2 linked regions of the Callithrix jacchus genome follow. The protein of the gene in region 1 interacts with the protein of each later gene in a biochemical or structural test. Links are inferred from orthologs where the notes say so. Each region holds a gene or a part of one and is shown on either strand. Other genes may lie near its edges.

The links. The genes of interacting proteins can lie anywhere in the genome.
Region 2: the proteins of RAF1 (region 1) and BAG1 form a complex in vitro, tested with the Homo sapiens proteins (2 studies listed by BioGRID). The link is inferred for Callithrix jacchus from reciprocal best matches to the Homo sapiens genes RAF1 and BAG1.

Annotation. Positions count from the first base shown.
Region 1 is NC_133516.1:69,764,153-69,767,806, reverse strand, and holds part of RAF1 (RAF proto-oncogene serine/threonine-protein kinase), read left to right. Parts: intron 1-1,062; coding exon 1,063-1,165; intron 1,166-1,489; coding exon 1,490-1,647; intron 1,648-3,636; coding exon 3,637-3,654. UniProt on the Homo sapiens protein: Serine/threonine-protein kinase that acts as a regulatory link between the membrane-associated Ras GTPases and the MAPK/ERK cascade, and this critical regulatory link functions as a switch determining cell fate decisions including proliferation, differentiation, apoptosis, survival and oncogenic transformation.
Region 2 is NC_133502.1:140,446,524-140,450,177, forward strand, and holds part of BAG1 (BAG family molecular chaperone regulator 1), read right to left. Parts: intron 1,599-3,654; coding exon 1,491-1,598; intron 646-1,490; coding exon 583-645; intron 30-582; coding exon 1-29. UniProt on the Homo sapiens protein: Co-chaperone for HSP70 and HSC70 chaperone proteins. Acts as a nucleotide-exchange factor (NEF) promoting the release of ADP from the HSP70 and HSC70 proteins thereby triggering client/substrate protein release.

The DNA.
Region 1 (3,654 bases):
CTTCCCTGTATTCACAAGGGCAAAATAGTCCTTTGGAGTTATAGGGAGTTTCCCATATGCTGTGTAGGTAATTATATTAAGGAGTGTATTAGTTACTGTTGGATAGGGAGAAAAATGGCTTGACTAGTCTTCTGGTAGATGATGGAGAGGCTTGAATAGTGCTATACATGTTATTCTTTCTTTACCTGAGAATATTCTTCCTTTGGAAAACGGGCCAGATTAACTGGATAAGACATGAGAATGGAATTGGGCGTTAATTTTTATATGTATATATTTTTTGTCTTATTTATACTGTAGGCACAGAAGGTGTGGTTTCAGAGTAGATTTTAAGACACTTAAGTCTGTCATTATCTTGCAGACCCTACAACTACAGATCAGAGTCTTTTATTAATAGAAAAGTACATTTCATTTGTGGTTCCTTTCTGTTTATCTAGATTGAAATAGACTATTGAAGACTAAATTTTGTACTGCAGCAATATTTATAATCCATTTGACAGGATTTGGGGATTTTTGTAAGATTTTAATGTTACAAATTTCAATTTAATATATATTGACTTTATCGTGAGATTGTTATATATCATTGTTTAAATAAAACTTTATCATGGCCAGATATGGTGGTTCACACCTGTAATCCCAGCACTTTGGGAGGCTGATGCAGGAGAACCACTTGAGGCCAAGAATTCAAGACCAGCCTGGGCAACACAGCAAGGCTCTATCTCTACCAAAAAAAAATGTTTTAAATAAATAAAGAGAAAACTTCATTCTAAGAACATGGGCTTTGGAGTTCAACAGATGTGGTCCAACATAGGCCTTTATACTTGCTGTGTGGCCTTCAGCAAGTTACCTTCTTAGAGTCCCAGTTTTCCTATTTTTTCAGATAGGAATGATAATACTTATTTTATAGGTTTGTTCAATGAATTAAATAGATTATTGTTTTATGGCTATATAAAGCTATATAGAGTTGTTTATAGCATGTGATAAATGGTAGCTGTTATTTGTATTGAACTCCTACCTTGTTTAAACATTTCCCTTTCATGTTTTTTTTTTTTTAATCCTTTTTAGTAAAAAAGCACGCTTAGATTGGAATACTGATGCTGCCTCTTTGATTGGAGAAGAACTTCAAGTAGATTTCCTGGATCATGTTCCCCTCACAACACACAACTTTGTAAGTTGCACATCTCTCTTTCTAGCATGTTGAGGGCTTTGCCAGGCCTAACAGAAATTTCTCAGGTAATAGGCATATGTGTGTGTGTGTGTGTGTGTGTGTGTGTATTTGGATTGTTTGAGGCTCTTTATGCCATTGTTTACAGTAAGGCAATTTAGATTTCATTGCCTTAGTCAGAGATACACTTTAATTTATGATTATGAATTCTGTAAATGTTGGAAGTATGATTGATTTTTGTAAAAACTCTTTTGGAGGCCAAGGAAGAAAATGACTTTGTCTTTTGTCATCTTTTATTCAGCATAATTTACACCTGTGTTCTTGTAGGCTCGGAAGACGTTCCTGAAGCTTGCCTTCTGTGACATCTGTCAGAAATTCCTGCTCAATGGATTTCGATGTCAGACTTGTGGCTACAAATTTCATGAGCACTGTAGCACCAAAGTACCTACTATGTGTGTGGACTGGAGTAATATCAGACAACTCTTGTAAGGCATTGTTCATTTTCTCAAGGAATATAGGGATAAGGAGTATAAATACTTTAAAGGATATTCATTGTAGATTTTGACTGACAGGTCTGGATTCTAGATTCATTTACAGAATTGTGATCCAGAAACTATCTACTTTAGAAACAGATACTTCTGAAACTAGCTAGGTTTGGTGGCATTAATACTCCAAAATGAGCAGGTAGGAATAGGACTTGTTGTCTGTTAAATTGAGATTGCCATATTGTGACTGTGATTCAGTAAGGAAAAGAACAAAAGGATATGAAAATGAGAAGATTTTTTGGTTTTCTCTCTTAATAGTATCATCTGCTGGGTTGCTAGTAGACACTGCTCTGTATTTTGTTGCTTATGCTGAACAAGCCTTTAACATTGAGAAGGAGCAGAAAGCGCAGTTGATGCTATTTTCTTAACTCCAAACTGGAGAAAACTTAGTTGTTTGGACTTAAAATTGTTTGAACATAAAATCTTGAAAGATTCTTGTTTCTGTCAGGACACAATATATTTCATATAGACAAAATATTATTTTATTAAAAAATTTAAAGTACATGGTCCAAACTGCCTTTTAAAAACTGTCACCAGGAATATGAAAAGTTTAAAGTTTTGTCCTTTTCGACAGTACTAGAGAAACCAAGAGAGTGTTATTAGACCATAATGGAAACATCTTTTTTGCTTTCGTGGTTACTCACATATTGATTTTGTAATGAGAGCTTGAGTAGCACAAATGGCAGGCACAACCTTTTTTTATTTGTCTTATTTTTGTCCTTCAAAAAAAAAAACAGGGTCTCACCCTCTTGCCCAGGCTGGAGGGCAGTGGCATGATCATAGCTCACTATAGCCTCAACCTCTTGGGTTCAAGTAATCCTCACCTCAGTCTCCTTAGTAGCTGAGACTACAGGTGTATTTCACCATGCCTAGCTAACTTTTGTATTTTTTGTAGAGACGGGGTTTCATCGTGTTGCCTGGGTTGGTCTCCAACTCCTGAGCTCAAGCAATCTGTCCACCTTAGCCTTCCAAAGTGTTGCAGGTACAGGCATGAGCCACTGCACCCAGCAGCACAAGCTTTTGAGTCCAACAGACATGTACCAAAATCTCAGTGTTCTCATTAACCATAATCACATCTGAGTTTTCATTCACGTGTCTGAATAAAGGGGATATTACCTTCCTTGCATTGTTTTTGTGAGGCTTGCTGACATAACCTGTGAAATTTACTAAGCACAAGTGCCCAGCTCATGGAAAGAAGGTGCCTAATTACTCACTTTTCTATGATTTATTCCTCCTGTTTTACTGTTTTTATCTATGTATTTCCAAGTTGAAATGTTTCTGGAAAAGCACTATGTGACATAGTTTGTAAAATGCTGTGTAGTCTGAAAAAACATTATTTTGATCCTGCTAGACATAGGACCAATATTTCCTAAAAATGCACAGTCCTAGAAATGCACACTGGGGTGGGCATGGTGGCTAACGCCTGTAATCCCAGCACTTAGGGAGGCTGAGGTGGGTGGATCAGCTGAGGTCAGGAGTTCAAGACCAGCTTGGCCAACATAGTGAAACCCTGTCTCTACTAAAAATACAAAAATTAGCTGGATGTGGTGGTGTACACCTGTAATCCCAGGTACTTGGGAGGCTGAAGCAGGAGAACCTGGGAGGCAGAGGTTGCAGTGAGCCGAGTATGCACCACTACACTCCAACCTGGGCAACGGAGCAAGACTCCGTCTCAAAAAAAAAAAAGAAATGCACGCTGGAGACTGTATGTTTATTGGCAGGTCAGTATTATTCACATTTAATAATCATTCAAACCCAGTTATTTGGAATGTTGTTCCTTTTACTGTAGGTAACGTAAAACAGTTGAGGAAAATGTGACTGGGCAAAGTTCAGTTTGAATAGCTGTGAGTTTGCAAAAGCAAGGCATGCTGATTATCTCTGTAAGATTACTACAGCTCTAAAAACCAGTCTTTCCCTGCTTTCATTTAGATTGTTTCCAAATTCCAC
Region 2 (3,654 bases), on another chromosome or scaffold:
TCCACTGTGTCACACTCGGCTAGGAATGCCTAGAAAATACACATGGGGCAGTGAGGGCCCATCCTGGGATAGCCAACCACTGCCCACACAAGGCTCTTTGCCTAGACATTCTGGGGAACCCATGACTGAGACCCAAAACAGACTGTGCATGAATGGAGATGGGCAACTAGCCTGGGCTCCAAGGTAAGGGGAGGGAGGAAGCATAGGACCAGGGTCTCTGACCACGCTCTAGGCCAGCAATCCCCTAAAAGGTGGGAAAGGCCACAAAAGCTTTGCCGCGAGGCCACTGAACAATTGCAGGGGGCACTGTATGCATGAATACTGCCTCCTGGAATTGTGTAACGTGTCAACTCTGTCTGCTCTCCAGTGAGTTCCCTCCCTAAATAGTTTAAATTCAAATATAATTATAGGGATATAGGGGGCTCTTCTCTGATGTTTGGGGTCCTTGCTGATAAATGAACAATAACCAAAACAAGCACATACCACACACCATCCTTCTATATTACTCGACTTTGAACAGATAAACACACATACCAACATATTAACATATTACACTTTGTCATGCACTATGACACAACTCACCTGAACCTTTTTTACCAAGCCTTTCCTTTTCAATCTACTGTCTTTGAAATTTTCTGGCAGGATCTATGGAAGAGTAAGTTGACACATAAATAATCCTCAGTGAAAATGACATGAGAACACATAAGAAACACCCACAGTACATAAAACGGGTCACAGGTCACCAATGTAAATAAACGTGCATTTTCAAGAACGCCTTCCCTGGGTCTGTATCCCATATGGCCCTTCCATGGCTCTTGTCCCTATAAAAGCTCCCTCTGTTCTCAACGTCTGGGCCATAGGAACAGATCTGTAACACAGACTTTGTTCTTTTATTGTTTCCTATGTATGGATACTCTGCCCTGGCCAGACTGTGGGCTCACTGTGACAGGAAAAGTGCCTGCTGCTGCTGCTTTACAACTCTGGCCAACAGAAGCACACAGCACAGGTCACCGTCAAGAATGAAACATCAGGCTAATATCATACTACTATCTGCAAAAGAGAACCTGAGTTAATGGTTTTCAACAGCCTGATAAGATCTGGGTCTGGCTGAATCCTCTATAAGTAAGTAGCCCTGCAGAATGATCAGTCACATGAGGAGCAGAGAAAGTGAAGTCCTCTGTTTCCTTGACCACGAGATTGTGGACTACTTGGGTCCCAGCTTCATGTTGATTAGAGATGCTACTGACAAACATAAGTATAAATGATAAAAGTCCTATGCTGGAGGGCTGTGAGTGCCTAGAAAGCAGGAACTGTCTTATTATTGTGCACTCACCCAGGACCTAGCAATGTGATGGCACACAATAGTATATGCTTAATATTCTCAAGTGATGGGTTTGCTCAGGCAATAGGAGAGTACATTATTGAAAGAGTGAAAGTGACTGAAAGAAAGTCAAAGAAAACTAGTTCTTCTCAGCTGAATATTTACTTACCAGTGTGTCAATCTCCTCCAAGATCTTCATAAATTGCTCTATTGTGGCTTTTACTTTCCTATCAAGTTTGCAGAGAGCTTCAGCTTGCAAATCCTTGGGCAGAAAACCCTGTGGGGGAATAATGCATTATTGCAAGGGTTCTTTGAGGCTGATAGAAAATTCCACGCTGCGATACTAATGAAGCGACCACACTGAGTCCAACACAGCCCTGGCAGGCCAGGTAACATGTCAGATCCACAACTTCATCTCTTGGAAAAATTATAAAGGCTGGCCTTGGGCCAGTCTAAGAATTCTATTGGGTTGTAGTCTGCTCTACCTCACATGACGCACTGTGGCTGCAAATGCCTCCTGAGGCTTGGCTCCAGTGAAGCCCCTAGTCACAAGTGTATACCAGCACACAAGAGGCAGATGTTAAAAGCACAGGCTTAGAGTCTTCAAAGCCTAGGTATGAATCCCGACTGCCACTGACTAACAAGTATTCTTGAACAAATTACTTAAGACTATTCATGCCTCAGTACTCTCATTTAAAAAAAGAAGATTATAATACCCACACCCTAGAGGGTTACTGCGAGGCAAAGGGAATATATGTATATGTGTAATTAACTTGTGGCACAGACACATGCTAACGAATGGCAGCAGTGCTTACTTTTATTAAATTGTCTAATGGTTCATTCATACAGCTTGGCCTAATGACCAGTTACCTGCTGGATAGCAGGGATCTCTGAGGATGTTTATCACGGCCAAGAGCTACAGATATAGATTTCATAACATGTAACAAGAGCTTTAAACATCACCCAGCAATTTCAACTCAAAGAATTTATTCTACCAAAAAATCAAGAACAGTCAAAAAAGATTTATGTCTAAGGATATTCAAAGAAGCATTACACAAAATACTAAAAATAATATTACATAATGAATAATACAGAATTGGCAAGGTAAATGAAACATTTATATAAGATGAAATGCAAGCTTTGAAAAGTACCATCACAGGAAAATGTTTAATTTTTTTTTCTTTTAGTAGTAGATGAGAAAATGTTTAATTTTTTATCCAATAAAAGAATAATTTACAAAGCATACATAACATAGCAAAAAAAATTTTTTTTTGTTTTTTTTCTTCCCATCCTCCTTCTGGCCCAAAATTTTTTTTTTGAGAGGAAGTCTCTCTCTGTCACCTAGGCAGGAGTGCAGTGGCACAATCTCGGCTCACTGCAACCTCCACCTCCCAGGTTCAAGTGATTCTTCTGCCTCGGTCTCCCAAATAGCTGGGATCACAGGCGCCTGCCACCATACTCAGCTAATTTTTGTATTTTTAGTAGAGATGGGGTTTCGCCATGTTGGCCAGGCTGATCTTGAACTCCTGACCTTCGGTGATCCACAAGCCTTGGCCTCCCTAAGCGCTGGGATTATAGGTGTGAGCTATTGCGCCCGGCCTATACCAAATATTTTTTTAAGATGAAAAATACATTTCAGGCTTTGGTAATGTCATCTCTGAGTTAGGGCCTCGTGGGTAATTTTTATTTTCCATATTAGTGCCTACACATGTACTTAAAACTTTTGTACAGTCAGCATGTATTCTGTAGTTAAAACACAAACATATAGGCCAGGAGTGGTGGCTCACTCCTATAATCCCAGCATTTTGGGAGGCTGAGGCAGGCAGATCACTTGAGCTCAGGAGTTTGAGACCAGCCTGGCCAACATGGTAAAACCCCATCTCTATTAAAAATACAAAATAATTAGATGGGTGTGGTGGCAGGCAGAGCCGAGGCTGAGGCAGGAGAATTACTTGAACCCGGGAGGTAGAGGTTGCCAGTGAGCTGCTGAGATCACGCCACTGTACTCCAGCCTGGGTGACAGAGTGAGACTCTGTCTCTAAATAATAAATAAATAAATGCCAAAACACAAACACACACCAATTAATGTTACAAAATGAGAGAAAAAAAGAAATATGTGGTCTTGAGCTAGTCCTAATCTGTGCTGGGTTTTAGTACCCCATCTCTAATATAAAGAATTGAATAGGATGACTCTCCCAACCCCACTATCATGTTCAACTTGGACCTTCTATGAATCAGCAAAATGTTCTTTGCCTTGCCAAACAGACTACAACAGCCCAGACAGGGAGAAGCTACTTGTTCTACTTTAGACAATATATAATCCTAGCATGCCA